4 linked regions of the Arabidopsis thaliana genome follow. The protein of the gene in region 2 interacts with the protein of the main gene of each other region in a pairwise test. Each region holds a gene or a part of one and is shown on either strand. Other genes may lie near its edges. The genes, in order: AT5G09480, AT2G24020, EXL2 and GIP2.

Region 1 (4,295 bases), on a different chromosome or scaffold from region 2:
AAACTTGAAACGCCTTCTTGCCTTGCGATCCTGTCGATCGCGTCCACGACGCTCTTGTAGTTTCTGCGACGGTTTAACGGCAAGCTTCCGTCGGCTTGCATTCTCACCATCGCCACGTCAGCAGGATTCCCGACGACTGATCCAACGGCTCCTGCGATGAGTCCAGCTGTGATCTTGGTTACCAATGGGAAGTTACCTGTTTGGAATTATCGTTTACGTTTAATTTATTTGATCTTTTGTGTAATAATATGGAAAAAATTCGAACCAAACAAACCGAAACTGTTTAAGATCGAAACCGAACCAGCATTTGTTTATAAATCCATTGGTTTTCTTATTTAAAACCAATAACCGAGAACTGTAAACGACTTTTAGTGTAATCAAACCAAACCAAACCGAATAAAAACCAAAATTATTTTTTGAGTAATATTGTTGCCGATCGAGTTTAGTATTATTACCGGTGAGTTGATCAGTCCACCTTCGTTTAAGAAAGTCGTATATACCCATACGGGTGGCAGAGTAAAGCATCTGACGGAGGATGGTGGCGGAGACGCCGGAGAAGAGAGCGGCGGGTCCTTCGGTTTTGACAATGTGTGCCCCTACGGCGAAAGGGGTCATGACGGAGCGCGTGGAAGAAGACGGCGCGTGAATGTGTAAGGGTAATAAGGAAATGCTGCCGATGAGAGAGTCAAGAGCGAAAACGGGTCGGTAAGGTTTCACGGGAAGATTATGATCAAGGCTAAGATTAGGGTTAGGGTTTTGGTCGAGCGAGAAAGAATGTTCGCCTTGAAGCTGCATACGGACTTTGATGAGGTCTAATGGGTGAGTCAGAGCTCCGGCGATGATTGCGGCGATGCCACCTTCAAGAAATGGTTTGAAGCCCATTGAAACGATTACCGGAGGATTTTATTGTAAGGAGAGAATGTTTTGAGGAATGGGAATTGAAAGAAAAGAAGAGTTTGGGAGATAATAGATCTTTTGTAATAAAATGTTTGGAGAAGAAGAAATGAAATTGAACAAGTTGGAATGGAAGAAGACAAACTACTTGAGAAGAAAATAATGCAACGAGTAGTTGTGTTTGTGTACTAGTCCTGAATTACGGGTTCCAGCTTTTAGCACAATGTTTCTTGTTTTGTCTTGATGCACACCTTGGCATTACAGAAAAAGAATAATTGAAGCTAGAGGAATAAACCAATATTGGTCAATGAAACCAATGTTCTATATCTAACATCTACTCATAAAATTTGATGTTTCATTAAGACGAACGTCATATACACCGACAATTGACACATTATATCTTTAATTAAATATCTTACATTACATGATTTACTTAAGAGTTATATATATATTTTTTGTACCACAAGAGATATACATATTACAAGAGAGAATTAGTACGAGATTATATCAGGAGCGTTTAGAGACTCAATCATGACATGGTGAGGACTCTAATACTGTAATACATATGTAATCTCTCATCTTTAACCAAACACAAACCAAAACTATAATTGCATATATAGTTTATATAATCATTTGACGTTCTTTACCCATTGATCTATGGCTTCTTGTTAGAAACGTTAACCTCTTCAACTGTTGATGTAGGTTTTGTCTTTTCAGTCTTTGGCAAACCGCCATTAACACCGGGAATAGGAAAGCTCGGAAACCATGATGGAAATTCAAATGTTGACCCTTCTGGCTCTTCTGGTTCTTCGGGCTCTTCAGGAACTTCGGGTTCTCCAGGAACCTCAGGCTCTTCTGGAATCTCAGGCTCTTCTGGAATCTCAGGCTCCTCCGGTGAGGGCAGCTCCGGCTCTTCTGGAACTTCCGGCTCCTCAGGTTCTGTGTATTCTGGAACCTTTTTGACCTCTTCTTGCACCAGAGAATGACTTACTCTAGCAGCAAAACTAGGTGTAGGGAACAAGAGGGACGATGAAATAAAGACAAGGAACAAGACCGAGGAGACGAGAATAGGAAGGCGAACATTAGTCATTGTGATATTCTTGAATCGAAACCAACTTAGAAAGATGAGTTAAACAATGTTGTGAGTATAGAGAGTTTGTGTTTTGCTATATATTGTTTACAGAATGGTTTCTTAAATAATATTGAGATGAGAGAGATCTTAGAATGTAGATTCATAAGAGTCAAAAAAATTTGGTGAGAAGATCTCACTGCACGATTGTGAGAATGTGATGTTAGTCTTCAACAAACTCACCTATATTTCATTATACGTCTTAGTTGTATAACCCCTTTTAAGTTTACTTTCGAACCTAATATATATACTTGTTTTAAAGCTATTGATACTAAACATTACAAGAAATCTTAAAGTTAGCAATACCTATATTGTATTTTACGTCTCATATGCATCACCCCTTCTTTACCTGTGAACATTCATTATTAATACATTTACATATGATTTTATTATTTTATCTTGTAACCGTTTCAAGTGAAAAGTGTATTTTTACGCATTATGTAGATTATTAAAATATATAAGGATCAAAATCAAATAATTTTAAGACTTATAAAATAAAATAAAAAATAAGACTGAGATAAAAAAAAAAAAAAATTAAAGACTAACTCAAGTCCAAACTCATAATGGTATTAAGTATTATAGAGAAAATCACCAAGAATTTTTTTTACGATAATAAGAAAAGTTTAAAGACACTAGAGTGTCAGAGACATGATGATAAGAAGATAGATTTAGATGAGCAAAACAAAAGAAATTGTAAAAGCAGAATGAAGTCTTGAAATGGCTTCACTTGAGAGGGATAAACCTAGAGGAGTGTGTAGCACCATGACCGGGCTTGCCGTGCCTAACGGGTTTGTAAGTGATTGAGAATTCCGCAAGGTAATGTCCAATCATCTCCGGTTTGATCTCGATTTGGTTAAAAGTCTTTCCATTGTACACACCAATGATGCTTCCAATCATTTCAGGCATAATCACCATGTTCCTTAGATGGGTTCTCACTACTTCGGGCTTCTCACCAGCTGGTGCATCTAGTTTCTGGTTTAAAGTAAATTAGAGACTAGTGTTATTATAATAATCAAAGCCAACCAATCAAAAGGCAGATCCTAACTAAAATTATTGTTATGTTGGGAGATCACAGACTAATAACAACTATGACACAATAACAACAGAGATTTATATTGGAAAGTTAGAGTTTTACCGCTTTGCGCAATTTCTTGATGAGAGCCATAGGCTTCCTCGTTAATCCTCTACTCATCCTACAAAATAATCAACATAATTAAACAAAACCAATCATTTAAAACAAGAGTTATATAATCTACCAAAATTTTTGGTGGGATCAAAACCTTCTTCTTATACGGGAAGGGAAGAGCTCGACAAGATCATCAGTGGGCATGTCAAGAAGAGCATCGAGATCGACTCCTTTGAAGGAAAACTTTTTGAACGTTCTCTTCTTCGCAAGAGCAGCTGCGGAAACATCTGGTTCGACTTCAGCCTACGGATTTCGACAGAGAAATTTAAGACCATGATGGGTTCAAGGATCTAACAATCGAATAATTAAGGTTTAAAGAGATGGAGATCAAGAAACTAACCATTGTTCTTGGTTTGAGAAGCCGGGAAAGTGACTGCAACTAGGGTTTTGCTATGGAGATACGACAAGAGACATAACTTGGCACCCAATATATATATATATATATATATATATACACAGATGTATTATAGATCCTACAGTGTTTCTGTTTAAGGAAACGTCAATAAATATTTACCAATTATTACATTATTGTCTTTCTAAAATAACATATGAATCAATATTTAAATATTTTTCTTCCCTTATAATAGAAAAACTTCTTTTTTTCTTACCTTATAAAAACTGATAATTAAAACATATAAATACACAATTTTCCCCCAAAAAATCAAAACTTAATTATTAGTTTAATGTAAAATTAACTGATTTAGGATAAAATTGGTCATACATTTTGTATTTATCTTCGAAATACAAGGAAATTATGTACAGATATCTTATAGAAATAGATATATAGTTTGTGAATTTCAAAAAAGAAATTGAAATTTTCTTCTATTTATAAATAGGGTCATTGTGTTATTTTTTATTTTCAATATACAACCATCGATCTGCAATACAAAGAAAAAAAACTAAGCAATCCAGATATTGATTTTTTTTTTTTTTTGAAGTTAATATATGCAGTTTAAAAATGCAATTGAAAGATATCTATCTATAAATCCTGAATTATTTTCTAAATTTAAAGTAATACTCAATAAACAGAGCAAAGTTTAATAGATTATAAATAAAAAGCTCTGTATTATTTGAAGGCATGAACAA
Region 2 (5,059 bases):
GTTTATGAATCTTCTCATGTCGAAATGTGAAGTGATTATGAACCTTTTTCGTAGGACAACAAAGTGAGGATCAAGTTCGGGAAGCGATCAAACGAGAAATTGAGAAAGAACAAATCCGTCAAGAGATCATTATCGCAGAAGCAGCGAGAAAACGAGAGCTTATAGCTGAGGTTTTACAAGAGATGGCTATCGAGAGAGAAATGGCGATACGACGAGTTTCAGACACGGAGATGTCTCTAGAGGAAAAGCTAACTATGTGGATCAATCAAAGGAAGCTTCCAAATCAAAATCAGAATCAGTTCAACAACTTTTTCAGACAGAAGTATAGTTACATTGATTCTCTGATCAACACAGGCTCTTACAACAGTCTACTTACATCACCAATGATGCAATTGCCTCAACTTCAGCAAATGTCTGAAGCTACCGGAACATCAATGTTGGAGTCTAATAAAGAGAATTTGATTGTATTGGTGAGTTCTTTAAGTAATGGTAAACATAAATGATAGAGTATATATAAGCCTTTGTTTCATATGTGTTCTCTTTGATTTCTCTATTGCAGAATAGAGCTGATATTATAGGAGCTAAGCCTAAAGCAGACAGTGTTGGTACCATGCAATTGCCTAAACTTCAGCAAATGCCTGAGGCTACAGGAACATCAGTTTTGGAGTCTAACAAAGAGCAGTTTATTGTATTGGTAAGTGTTTTACTACGAGTGTGATATCTCATCTTTTCTATCCACGTACTTTCCTTACTTGCTTATAACAAATCCTGACCATATGTGTTCTCTTTGATTACTATTGCAGGCTAGAGCTGATCCTGTAGGAGAAAAGCGTAAAGCAGAGGATATTCAAACTGGTTTGAACGAAGATCTTCAAGTGAAAAGGCCGAAAGCAAAAGAATCAGAAGCAAAGGCGATGTCTTTGGAAACCGGAGAAATAGTCTCTTCGAAGGTTCCTTGTTCAGGGAAACTTGGCAGTGGAAAGAAAGCAGAAGGTAAGCTAAGAACTAACCAGAAGTTTTGGTGTGAGATTTGTAAAGTTGGGACCTATTGTCAAATAGTCATGAGGGATCATGAGTTAGGTAAAAAGCATAAGGCTGCTGTTACACAACAGAATGAGACACCTGAAGCTGCTTCAACCTCCTTATCCCCTGCTTCCGTTACAGCACCGCAACCAGAAGCCATTAGAGTATGTGAAAATGCTAATCCGCAGGGTCAAAAAGTAGATGAAATTGCGGCGAAAGAAACAACGGGAAAGAAGACAAAAGGTGAGAAGAAAAAGAAGGAAACGGTTTGGTGCAAAACTTGTAATATTCAGACGAATTCTGAGCAGACGATGAGGAATCATACGCTTGGGAAAAAACACATGGCTTTGCTTGAGAAACAGCAGAATAAACTCATTACAGTCCCAGTGAGATCTCTGAATGCTGATCCAGGACAGAAAGAATCAGTATCTCTAGCAATGGATGATACACAAGGTAAGGTTCATTGCTTGGAGAAGTCATAGAAGATTCTTTGTAACTTTGTTAGATTATTTTATATCAACTTTTTTTACCAAAAAAACCTTTGTTAGGTCATGACAATATACCATGAGGAATCAGAGATTGAATTCATGAATTTATTTTTATTTTTTCTTATGCAATGTGACAGTAGGAGATTTGCATGATGTTTTTTTTGTTGTGAGATTGAGAATCATGAGAATAATAACCAATGCCATTAGAGAGACCAGAATAAGTGTATAGATCATGATTGCATTTTGGAGTGTGTGTTGTCTTATGCTTTTATCATATGTTTTACAAACTTACAACTGTACAAGCAGAGTATGTTTGTTTGGACATGATACGATGATAAATGTCTTCTTTCAGGAGAGGCCCAAAATGGTTTGCCTAGAGGTATTTCAAATGTTTGGGGTGAGTCTCTCTATACATAGAGGGTATATAGACAACTCCACAATCAATCAATAGTTCTTCTCGCAATACAGCTCCACAAGACCACAACACATATGACCATGTCCCATACATAGAACCACGAAAGATGGTTCTATTGTAGCATGTTTTTTTTTTTTTTTGGTTTAATGAAGCATGTTACAATCTCTGATAAAGTTTCATCTATACTAGAAATTGAATTTTTCGAAAATCGAATCAATATCTGATGTAAGAACATTTTACGTTTGATCACTCAATTTCGTACTGAAAGTGTATAAACTTTAAAGTTGCGACTTCTTCACTAGAAAAGAATGGTACAAAAACAATCTAAGCTCAAAAAAAGAGTTAAAGTGACGTGGCGCAAAATCATTGGTTAAAAGCTTCAACAAACACAGAAGCTACGAACAAGTTGCCCGGAAAAAATTAGCTTCCGGTTTTATCTTCTCGAATTTCAGAAAAAAAGCCCTTCTCTAATATCTCTCTACTCGTACAACAATGGCGTCGATGGCTGCAACCACCAATTTCACCAAATCTATGCTCTTTCCATTCTCTCATGGTTAGTCTCTCCTAAATCCCTACTTCTATCTCTCGCTTAAGGTTTCGTGACACTGGATTTTGAGTCTTTATGTATCTGTCGTACATTAGGTTTCATCTGAATTTGCTTAATCTTTCGTAATTAGACTTTTCTATTCCATAATTGGAGGAATTGAAGCGTAATTTTGTATTTATAAGTGTTTTTGGGATTGAAATGGGCTTTAGTAATTTTTTGGTTTGAATAGTTTCAGGAAATGCGAGCTTGAATTCGCAGAGAAGAACATGGCCAAAGCAGTACAAGTCTAAAAATGGTTACAGGTCTCTTCGAGTGAATGGATTATTTGGAGGTGGAAACAAAGATAATAACAGTGAAGATGGACAATCAAAGGTTGGTACATTACATTGGTTTTTTCAAATATCAAACAGATTCTGCAATAGGTGAACATTTTAAGTTAGGCTTCATGTTGTAAAGATTCAAAGTTTATGATTTTGGAACTAATGAAGTTTGTGTGTGATCTTTCCTAGGCAGGAATATTTGGTAATATGCAGAATATGTATGAGACTGTGAAGAAAGCTCAAATGGTTGTTCAAGTGGAAGCTGTACGTGTTCAAAAAGAGTTAGCTGCGTAAGTCCGGCACATTTATCATACAAAATTTGAGGAAGTTTTCTTCTATGAGTAATGAGTTTTGCATGTTGGTTTTGTTCCAATTTCGCAGCGCAGAATTTGATGGTTATTGTGCAGGCGAGCTTGTCAAGGTCAGTTTAGAGCTTGTTTTGGCCTTAAGATAGATCAATGCACATAATAGATCAGTGAAGTATTAACTAACGTTTACTTGATGATGTAAGAACTGTGTTTTCTGATTTGTTAGTCTTTGGATGATTTGGCAAGAACTCCACTCTAGAATCTCAAAACTTTGTTTAGTCTTTATTGTTTCTGTTACAAAGTCTGATGACCTAAACCTTATGAATTTGTGTCAGGTTACGTTATCAGGTAACCAGCAACCAATCCGTACTGATATTACCGAGGCAGCAATGGAACTAGGTTCCGAAGTGAGTAACCATACGTACCTTGTTATGGAACAGTCAAAGCTAATTCATCAGTTTCTCTTGTTGATGTTGTGTGTTTTCCTTTGGCAGAAACTATCACAACTTGTCACAGAAGCATACAAGGACGCACACGCCAAGAGTGTGGTGGTATAGCAATTTGCAGACCATTTATCACAATGCAACTAAAGTATTTGTTTCTATCCATTTCTTCTAATTGAACTTTGTGAATTTTTTCACAGGCTATGAAAGAGAGAATGAGTGACCTTGCGCAGAGCTTAGGAATGCCACCGGGTCTCAGCGAAGGAATGAAGTAAGAAGCTGTTTTTGTTGTTTCATTTCAACTTTCAGGTATGAGAGGTTCGGCTTTTTTTGTTTGTTTGTATATCAGTCAGGCAGAAGCAAAGAGCTTTGTACTCTACTCTTATGGAATTATATATAAAAGATTTGAAACTTTTGGTTTTCTGCAATTTTATTCCCAAGGTATCAACACAATTGTTCTAGTATCAACATATATCTTCTTCGAATACAAGAATGCTTTTAGTGTCTTATGAAATCAAGTTGATTTGAAACATAAAAATTTCAAAAGAAAACACCGAGTTAACTCGGGTTTTGGAGGGAGCCTTCTATCTTATGTGTGTGACTAATAAGATCTTGGAAGCTCTTTGCCGGCCAAGAACGATCTTAAAAGAGTGAGAGCACGCTCGGGTTGCAACACCGGCACTTCGTGGCCCGCCCCTCTTATCGTCGCAAAGGTAAGCCCCTCATATACCTCTGTCCATCCTCCCACCTGACACCACCACCATGAGAAATCACTAGCTCTGCATAATAAGAATAGAACCACGAATTTGATGAAAATTACCTGCTTTTCGGAGTACCAAGGGTACCAGGGAGTTTTCACCGGAAGATTGAGTTTACTGAGGGCAAGTCGAGTCCCAGTCACTGGAACCACTGCGTCTGTATCGCCACTACATCAACAAAATGTGGTTAAAGGACACGAAAGGTACTTTACTTGCAGCTAGTTTCATGGTTTACCTAAAGACCCAGATCCTCAAACCAGCGGCAGTGAGTTCCTTGTATATCGGCAACATTGAAAACTCGGAATCTTTCCAGTTGTTATTCACAACCATATTGCACAATGTCCACTTATAAGGAATGGAGGTAAGATTAGCGTGCATAGCTCGTTGCACATCAGGACGGTTGTAATATATCTCAGCGTAGCTTTCGGTACAAGGGTCGTACTCGTATTCCTCTACCAAAAGCCGTCCATGCAGGAACTTGGTCTGGTTGGTTTGATGTACACATGAGGGTGAGTAGATGCTGTACCCATTGACTTTGCCAAACTCTCTGTAGGCGAAGTAGAGTGCCCAATTGCACTTGTCCGAGGTTTTATCCGCAGTGAAGCTGCAGTGTTTGAGGATAGACTTGTAAGTTTTGTCAGAGATCATTGCGTGTGACCACGCATACATGGCGGCTCCTAATCTGTCGTAATGCTTGTCCATATCTCCATTTCCCACCTGTGCAAAAGAATATATATGCATTAAGGAGGGATTAAGG
Region 3 (4,934 bases), on a different chromosome or scaffold from region 2:
CAGATAAGGTATACAGCTTTTATGCAGATAAGCTGGCGTATATACCTATTGCTGCATACCTCCTTCTTTTGGCCAACATTGAAGTTGAATAGAAACTAACTAGAAAGGCTTTCTTTCACCCCCGAAGCAAACAAAAGCCTTTGTTAATTTTCATGTTGAATTCAATCATATAGGTGAGCCAATTTTTCGGTTATTAAGTTTTTAAATATACGAATAACCTTGTACTTTTTCCAAAATACATAGAGACAACATGAACTATTTCAGGTACTTTAAAATTTATGATCAAAATAAATTTTCATTTGGATATAAATTAATATATTCCATAAGAATTTGGAAATTTCAAATTTACACAAAACATCCTTGTAAAAAGTGTATGCTTACATAATTTTCTAATCATTAATACACACAGCCACGAATTTTATTTAAAATCTATTATATATGTGTCGTAACCCTAAAAGATATAACAAAGTGTATTTTATTTAGCATTATCCTCAATTCGTCACTAGCTTATTTATTTCCACATATAGCCGAAAGTCCGGATCCACTACAACTTAATCAGGTTTATTATTATACAGAATGCATGATAAATTATGTCATGATCAAAATCAGTATATATAAGCTACATACTGATAAATAAAATAAAAGGCATATAAATGATTGATTGAATCTAGATGAGCCTTTTCGATACTTAAATGTTTCAAAGTTTTCTTTGGCATAAAGAACGGAGGCAAGGGAGAAGAACTTCTTCACCAACCCCACTGACCATTTTCAGAAAATACTTAATACCTAAATTACTAAAATTTGTAGGAATTTCGGTGATTAAATTCACTAGATTACTTTTTCACCTGACAATAATAAATATTACCCCCATTTTGAGGTATTTTGATTGCTTTAAGAATTCGGAAGTTTCCAAATTTGAATGTTTAGTTATTTGTTGTTACCTAACAAATAAAGATAGATTTGTTTAGTTCAAAGAGAACAAACTTTAGTCGCCATTAAAACAGTTAAGGATAGATTTGTAGTTACAGATAACATATTATCATGCATAAAAAAATTCAAAAGTTACTAATAATATGAAACGAGTACTTACAAAGCAATCAATTTGGTCTCCTAGGCCCCAACACATCTTCCTTTCTTTAGTTATCAATTTTATTACAAAATTAAATACAACAAATAACATTATTATCCTCTATACCCACTAACATTTTTTAAAAAGGTCAGATACCTTTAAATAAATTAATTAGTACTAATACAAGCTTTGATCATTCTTGCTGCAAAACCGAATGCATTATTAAATTTGATAAAGTAGAAACAAAATGATTTTTTATTATTTTATATGCATTCTTCACATTTCCGAGTACAGTTTTTACACGTCATTACAAAACGACAAAAAGCAAAGAGAGAGCCCTATCCACAATCCAAACCCGAGACCCAAACCCGAAAGATTTTTTTATACACACGCTCGCGTGCAACTTGATTTTGACTACACATGCCGTCTAGATCTCGTCATCGCTCTCACTACTATGCCACGTGTCTTACTCACATCCCTTGGATCAAACCAGAGTCTTGCACGTCGAACTCTGCGGATCCCACATCGCCGGCAATAGATATTTCCTACCGGCGAGTCCACGAGCGTTGTAACTAGACCCGGTTGTTTTGTCAACAAGTACCCGACCCGCGTAACCCGGATAAGAACCTGACCCGAATATACCAGGACAAGCAGACACAGCTTCAAGCGGTGCAGTTGGTGGGCCTTGGTAATATCCGTTATTAAACGGATTCGTCACGGTGTTAGCTAGAAGTGTGGCAAGGTTTATAATCATTCCGTCAACTCCAACGTCACCGTTAGGCGCTACTAACGGCGGCGTTTGTGGTCCGTAAATCGGCTGGTGAAACGGCCACGCGCAATATCCAGGGCACTGCGTCTCGGAGTTCCCGACCCATACGTAAGCCGCGCCGTTAGCTGCGCGACGGGGATTCGAACCGGAGGATCCGTGAGTCCCGCACCGGCTCATACAGAATCTTTCGACGGTAACATCTTTCGCCGTTAGAACGACGGTTATGGAACGGAGACCGCCGTTAAGTTTGGTGGATAAAGCACGGAGGTAAGGATTTTTGAGAGATTTTCCGAGAGGATAGTTCTCGAGTAGAAGCTGTTTCCCGACGACGAGTGTTGAAGAGCCACCTTTGTATTTCTCCGTCGTCTTCCACCACGAAGCAACGGAAGGAACTGCGGCGGAAGATGCAACGTCTTTGGAGTTTAGCGAGTGGATGAAATCGACGATTACGGACCGTTGGATCGGTGTGAATTTCCCGTACCATACGAGATTGACTGTGATGTTACCTTTCAACAGAACTCCGTTGTGGTATTTCATAACAAGCGGCTGCTCCTCGACCAACGCGGCGGCGGAGAAACCAGCGGTGGCGAAAAAGAGAGTGAGGAAGATGGCAAAACGGTAATTAGAAGCCATTGAGAAGGGTAGTTATATCAGATTGAAGAGATATAGGAGAGGTTTTGATTTGGGGTTTATAAAGATATACAGAGGTATTTATACCAGAGATGTTGTTTTGAAACCGAGAGAGGAGTGTGACAGCTGTAGTGGCTAAGGTGTCAATATCAAAGATTGCCACGTGGAGAGATGTGAGTGGGTAGGGAAGGGTGTTTGACAGCCTGTAAGGTTCTTATAGTGTGACGTGGTTTAAGTCTTCATAACGTGTATTAAATTTAAGTGATGCTTAGCCGATAAATTTGTTATCAAACAAAGAAAATAAAATTAGTGTAAGATATTTTGCCATGCAGAGAGACAGATCCATTTGTAAAAGAAGATTAATAAGTGAAAAAAGAAACTTTAAAAGTAGTGTTTAGTAAGATAGCTTTATTCTCTGAATGCAGTAGTTTTCTTTTAATCTTTGAAAGTCTATTAATACAAACCGAGTAAGTTTAAATGCAAAACCCACTTTAAATTTTAATGCAAGAAATTGATTATGAAATTCAGCTAATAGCTACTAGTATTAAAATGTAGTTATTAGATCAACTGGTTTTTTAAAGAAATTGGTTGTAGTTGTTTTGGTTTTGAATACCAAGATATACATTGATTCAACACATATATTATCAGAAACCAGTTTGATTTGACTATATATTTTGCCATTGTTTCAATTACACATATCTTTCCCTTGTTTCAATATAAACATAAATCTCATCTACTCTTATATATTGCCATTCATGATTAACCATAGACTTATATACTCTTTATAAAGATCTGTATTAGTTGAGTAACTATTTTTCCGTCTAGCATATAAACACATCCTATACACATTTTTATTTTCAGTCACCTGCCAACCATGAAATTTTAATATCACTTTACACTATGCCCAAAAAAAACAAAAAAAACGTCGTCACTTTAACTCGTTCTCTGACTCCGCCTCGCAATCTCACATCATGAGGCATGGTATTGGACATGCTCTATACGCAAATACATTGAGCAGTAATTGTTTGACCATATAATAGAAGAAAAGTCCATTACTCGTTCTAATAATACGGTTCTGATACCAAAAAAAAGAATTCTATATATTAAGAAATGAATTAAAGAGATTTGGGATTATTTAGGGAAGGTTCCTTCCTTTCCTTCCATAGAGGCGCCACTGATTTTAAGAAAGGTACACAGAGAGGTTGATGATACCGTGTGTGTGCCATAATCAACTTTACTTGGGGGAGGTCCCTTTAGGTCTCCGTGGGGACCACAGATTCATACGTATTTTACTCTAGAACAGTGTGTGTATTTATGTATAGTTATATACTTATAGCTTAAGGTGTATGTATATAAATATACGGGTGCACTCGAGTAGTTAGTTCAGTCGTGTAGTAAGCAAGATACGCCTCGACGTAGCGTACGAACCACGCTCTTACAGTCCATTATTGCCTTTTACATCTTCAGGGTCCACTCTTGCTTTATTTTGAAAAACTCTTTTTGGTTTGATTTAACAAAAAAGTTATACGAAAAGTATATATTCCACACTAAGAAAAAAAAACACGTTTTATTTTGTATTACCATCTTTTTTGGCATAAAGAAGATTTTTATGTTTTCTTCTATAGTGGAGGAGCTCACATAACTAAAAATAAAAATAAAAAAAATAGAAAATCAAACGAGGGTATGTGATGTGAGGCCCATATACAAGTACTGTTTATTAAAACTTAAAAGAAGGATAAGTCACGTGTCAGACGTACTCCGTAGTAATAGCATAATAGGATTCGTAGTAATCCACTTTAGCTCTCTCTCTGCCTCTACAAAATATATCTTCTCACGTGAAATTTTTCTACTCTAGTTATGTGATAAATGAATAGCAAAAGTTACAATATTGTTACTTGGATGAGTTTACTTTGAAGAGTGACACATGAGTTTACTTTGTCGTGTATATACTTGGATGGATGCACCGGTCACTTTTGGTAGGATAGAACCACACACTTTGATCATCATTTAGCTTGGCTCTTGATTCTTTAAAAATATAATTGCGCTTTGAACGTAAAAACAATTTCGTATAATTAGGTCGAGTAAAAACCTTATATATCGTTATACTTGACTTGTTAACATTTGAAACACACAATATTGAGTTCGAGCGTCGGGGTTAACTATGCGTACGTCGAATTGAAAAAAAAAAGAAGAAGTAATTTTCGATTTTAGGAACATCGCCAATGGTGGACTTAGCTTACGATAAACTTGCTCTAAAAAGAATGTCCACTTTATATTAATGATTAGTTTAGTCGAATGATTTAGTGAATACAGTATCATTTTATATTAAAGGAGAGCTTTAAAATTGTGAGAGGTTAATTATGTTTCGTATCACGATTAACAAAAAGTTAATTATGTTTTTTGGCCGACGTTCCAAATTCACAAGGACCAGTACATTTCTTGTATCTATCATCTCAACCTTTTCGG
Region 4 (4,441 bases), on a different chromosome or scaffold from region 2:
CGAAGTGTGGCGGCTAGAGAAGATAGGCAAAGATGGGGCCTTTCACAAGAAGCTCTCCTCTCGCCACATCAACACTGTCCAAGACTTTTTGAAACTATCCGTCGTTGACGTCGACGAACTCCGTCAGGTTTAAATTCTTAGCTTATTTGACCCCTAAATTTTTATTATTATTAGAGAACTAATAGGAATAGGGGTTTGTTGATGTACAGATTCTGGGGCCTGGAATGTCTGATAGAAAGTGGGAAGTAACATTGAAACATGCTAGAGAGTGTATTTTGGGAAATAAGTTATACATTTCTAGAGGACCGAATTTTTTCATGATTTTGAATCCGATATGCGAAGTTATGAAAGCACTTATCGATGGTCATGTTCTCTCTAGTCAAGAATCCCTCAACCAGGTATTGAATGGTCATTTTCTCTCTATTAAAGAAGTTAAGCAATTATTGATAGCTCAATGATTGTTTATTAGTTAGAAACTGTATTTATTTTTTTAATTCATCTATGGTAATGTTTTGTTGCAGCCCTACGTTAAGAACTTAGTTCGAGATGCTTACTCAAAGGGGAACTTTTTAGAAGTGGGCGAACGAACAGCGAACGAGGCTGCTCTTTTGACACAAGGTATTACTTTAAAATAGTGTCAACATAAACACCATTTCAGTTTTTCTATAATTGCGAAACATCGTTGATTATATAGTATGTTACAACAATGTAATTTTGATTATATAGGTGATGATTTGGACCAACAATATGCTGCGAGCCACTACCAAAACATCGAAATCGATAAATCATATCAACAAAACGGATATGTTCAAGAGAGATCTACAAACAATTTGGAGATAGTAAACGAAGGGTATATAACGACTCCAGCGGAATTCAATATATGTTTCACCGGATCTTCGTCTCAAAATCATATAAACCCTTTCTAAATCCTCATCTACGTTAGTATTGGAAGACACGCCATAGTGCCTTGGCCGAGATTGGACTCTTTCTAAATAAGGGTTTAAACTTTAAACTACTACTACGTACATGATGGTAAAACATGTATTCTAGATCTGCTGATCATGATTGTACATAAAAGTGTGAAGTTTAGAGTTATATTTTTAGTTGGATGGTATACCACTTGTTCACGTTTTCACAGTTGTATGAAAACGTTGTTTTTACCATTCACGTTCAACAAATTTTTACGTTTTTACGTTTTAGAAAAATTGATTCCGCTGTATATGTACGTACTTGATGAAAGTATTGACTAAAAAAAGAAATCAAGAATATGAGGGTAACTTTGTGATTTACTTAAAGAAAGCCTCTCAAAAGGATTGAGTGGGGATGACTCAAATACTTATTACCAATTTGTCTCTGAAACTCTCTATTCAATTACCTTACCAACCCTAATTTACACATCAATAGCATAATGAAATTGAAACTTAGAAAACAAGCATGAATGATACTATTTGATTAGGCATCTTCTTAATCAACCGTAGTTGTTGTTGTAGCAGAATCCCTACGAAGCTCCTTGACGAGAGTAGCGAGAGCCTCAGGGTTAAGACCAATATCGCAAAGAGCTATAAGAACAGACAAAGTATGTCGATCAAGACCTGTCTCCAAGATGTTCGACATCCGAAACACCAGCTCCAGTGACTCTCTCGCTGTTTCAGCTGCTTCCTGATTCATAATACTCTGAAACCACCAAACATCATCCAGAACAAAAAAATATCAATTTCGGAAACGATTCAATTTACATATGAATATCTACTCTATTCTTGTACGGATCTCCATGGATGTACAGAGAATGGAAACCCTTAAAGTGGAAATCGGAGACTTGCCGACGGATCAAGAGATACATTAGATCGGAAAAAGGTTAAGGAACAAAACGAACCGATTAATCGACGGAGAAAACGAACGGCGTCGAGTTTGAGAGAGAAGAAGTGAGATCTTAGAGCTTGAGATAATTGAGAGAAACGATTCTCGATCTCGTGATCGAAGAAGAAGAGGCGAAAATGGGCCAACAATTAGAATTTAGAAATCTAGGGTTGTTTTTTTTAAGAAAATAAACCTTTGGCCGGTTCAGAGTATATTTACTGGTTCATATCAAATCGGTCGGTTAAATAAAATCCGCCGGTTTTAATACAATCGAAGTCTCTGAACTAGTTTTAATCAAGGGATTCTTTTTTGTCGGAATCAAGGGATTCAAGACCTTGTTATGATTAATTCGGCCAAAATTGACAAAATTGCATCCAAATTTAGAGACTTATTTTGTAGTGATATCCTTGAAATTGGAACTTTTAACTTTTAAGTAGCTTATGTTAGTCGAATTATCCGAAATTTCTTAAAAACATATCAATGTGAATATGTGATGATCAAGATTTATTCCTTGACGACAAACACATTAATGGAAAGCCAAACTCAAAAGTAAGAAACTTGAAGTAGAAAAACCATCGATGATGAGCGAACAGAACAGAACACCTTTTTTGGTCTTGAAAGCAAGAAACAGAACATCGAAAACTAGAACGAAATACTGGGACTAGCATTTCGGATACGGACAATGACAATCAGTGGCGATTATTTTGGCGTTTGGGGAGTTAAGGAAAGATTTGAAGTTAGGGTTCTTCAAGTACTGGCAGATACAATGCTGTTGCTCCTTCACCTTGCTGCAACACAGATCCGATGGCTCAGACCCTTTCATTATGGTCTCCAAGCATGGACTCAGCTGCGCAGGATTACATGGATCTACTGCAGCGACTCTGTTTTCTTGGGCAACAATTAAAATGAGAAGGATTGTACAAGTGAAAAACACTGGTTTTGTGCAAGAACCCTTCATTGTCTCACTAAGTTATAGAAAGAAGAAGAAGATATTTGGTTTGGAGTTTAAAGTGGGTTTCTCTCGTTCTATTTATAGAAGAAAATGTCTTTGAGTGAGTCACGTTACTCAAACGAGAGTTTGTGGTTGCAGGAGATCTCGATATGTCTAAAAGAGATTAACTTTTTTCTAAAAGGCTCGGACAAAGCATAAAAACACCTAGGCACCATTTTGGAGAAGTTATGAAACCACGTGTAACCAAAATAGATGTCAGCTTTCGGCTACCCCCAGTGAAGGTATATGAATTTGTTGACACTTAAACAAAGTAATGAGAACACCTTCATAATTATATATTTTACTTCATTACTATTGTACTAAGCACAAAATATGACTTAAATTTCTAATTATATTCAAAAGGCAGAACTTACAGCCAACATGGACCAAAAACTGATCTGTTTCCATTCACTAGGCAGTTGCTTCCTTTCAAAATCTTCAATGTAGTGCATAAGTCTGTGGCCCAAAACCAAGACCAATTAGAGTTCATTGATCACAATGTTAAACATATATCAGGCCATGAAAGAATAAAAGAAGATAAGCTGCAGTATATATTAAGTTTACTCAGACACTTTTCTAGAATCCATATTCTCCATGTGGTATCAGCCACCAAGGTTTTCATACTTAGCACATAATGAATAGGATAAACAAAGCCCAAGACACATGATTAAGCAAGCAATCACACGCTTAAAGATTAAATAGTCTCTAACAAGCACAGTGTTAGAAAATCTCTAAAGTACTAAATAATTTGTATATCCATTTAATCAAGTTATACAAGTAGAAAATGCAAAATGTGACAAAAAAATAAGAGACTGTAAAATACAGAAGAAAATGTTCTCTTTGCGAGTACCGTATGGTGCGAAATCCAAAACTTACCATGTGTTAATCACTTTCAGAGTAAGAATAAGACGAGCGATTAGCTTTCAGGGCATCAGTCTTAATATTGACATCAGACAAGCCAACATCATTGAAACCATCAAACTCTACATCGGAATCAGACGAATCACCATCTCTCAAGTCATCACTCTCAATATCTGAATCAGACGAATCACCATGGCCATCACTCTCAATATCAGAGTCAATATCGTCAACCTTATGTGCATCGTTAACTGGATACTTACGCACCACATCCATCACTTCATCATCACTATCATCGTGCTTCCCTGATAACTTCCTAATCATCAATGCCTCAAATAAATCAGGTATAGCATCCTCATTTCCATCATCCAAAAAGCTTTGAATTCTTTTTTTCAGCTCTGAAATACCAATTGGATTAAGAAAGTAAGCAAAATTATAATCTTTACATGAAAAATTATGAGCTGATCAGCTAACTCTGTCATTGCAAAATTCTCTTCCTTTTCATTCAAAACTGTACATTTTCTTGAGAACCAAACAAAAGAAGTTGAGTTGAAGAAATGTCACCTTCTTTAGAAAGAACCTCTTCAGTTCTGAAACCACGCGACGAGTCGGACTCGGAAGAGAAGAAGACGAACCGGGAAATAGCTCGTTCGAAGAGAGGAACAACAACACGAGGGTTGTTGATTCTCAAATGGCGGAAATTTGCGGGTGAGTGAAGGATATTTCGAGCCAGTA

What was found.
Region 1: the proteins of AT2G24020 (region 2) and AT5G09480 interact in a two-hybrid assay, tested with the Arabidopsis thaliana proteins (one large-scale study listed by BioGRID).
Region 3: the proteins of AT2G24020 (region 2) and EXL2 interact in a two-hybrid assay, tested with the Arabidopsis thaliana proteins (one large-scale study listed by BioGRID).
Region 4: the proteins of AT2G24020 (region 2) and GIP2 interact in a two-hybrid assay, tested with the Arabidopsis thaliana proteins (one large-scale study listed by BioGRID).

Annotation. Positions count from the first base shown.
Region 1 is NC_003076.8:2,949,632-2,953,926, forward strand, and holds AT5G09480 (hydroxyproline-rich glycoprotein family protein), read right to left. Parts: upstream 2,071-4,295; 5' UTR 1,985-2,070; coding exon 1,550-1,984; 3' UTR 1,231-1,549; downstream 1-1,230. Other genes in the region: DIC3 (dicarboxylate carrier 3), read right to left, coding at 1-196, 456-882; AT5G09490 (Ribosomal protein S19 family protein), read right to left, coding at 2,747-2,995, 3,159-3,216, 3,304-3,452, 3,550-3,552.
Region 2 is NC_003071.7:10,216,629-10,221,687, reverse strand, and holds AT2G24020 (Putative BCR, YbaB family COG0718), read left to right. Parts: upstream 1-2,219; 5' UTR 2,220-2,418; coding exon 2,419-2,479; intron 2,480-2,702; coding exon 2,703-2,845; intron 2,846-2,982; coding exon 2,983-3,083; intron 3,084-3,174; coding exon 3,175-3,214; intron 3,215-3,436; coding exon 3,437-3,508; intron 3,509-3,595; coding exon 3,596-3,652; intron 3,653-3,744; coding exon 3,745-3,819; 3' UTR 3,820-3,987; downstream 3,988-5,059. Other genes in the region: AT2G24030 (zinc ion binding / nucleic acid binding protein), read left to right, coding at 55-470, 560-694, 804-1,505; scpl23 (serine carboxypeptidase-like 23), read right to left, coding at 4,146-4,292, 4,365-4,470, 4,538-5,019. UniProt on the Arabidopsis thaliana protein: Participates with ALB4 in thylakoid protein targeting. May function with specific subset of thylakoidal proteins. Binds to DNA and alters its conformation. May be involved in regulation of gene expression, nucleoid organization and DNA protection.
Region 3 is NC_003076.8:25,701,517-25,706,450, reverse strand, and holds EXL2 (EXORDIUM like 2), read right to left. Parts: upstream 2,803-4,934; 5' UTR 2,472-2,802; coding exon 1,554-2,471; 3' UTR 1,112-1,553; downstream 1-1,111. UniProt on the Arabidopsis thaliana protein: May play a role in a brassinosteroid-dependent regulation of growth and development.
Region 4 is NC_003070.9:27,742,246-27,746,686, reverse strand, and holds GIP2 (mitotic-spindle organizing 1B-like protein (DUF3743)), read right to left. Parts: upstream 2,039-4,441; 5' UTR 1,874-2,038; exon of another isoform or gene 1,675-1,873; 5' UTR 1,669-1,674; coding exon 1,465-1,668; 3' UTR 1,258-1,464; downstream 1-1,257. Other genes in the region: SARD1 (Calmodulin binding protein-like protein), read left to right, coding at 1-127, 210-398, 522-618, 727-926; AT1G73780 (Bifunctional inhibitor/lipid-transfer protein/seed storage 2S albumin superfamily protein), read right to left, coding at 2,519-2,815; AT1G73770 (coiled-coil protein), read right to left, coding at 3,731-4,104, 4,271-4,441. UniProt on the Arabidopsis thaliana protein: Required for gamma-tubulin complex recruitment to the microtubule organizing centers (MTOCs). During mitosis, modulates gamma-tubulin complex localization, spindle stability and chromosomal segregation. Necessary for gametophyte development and embryogenesis.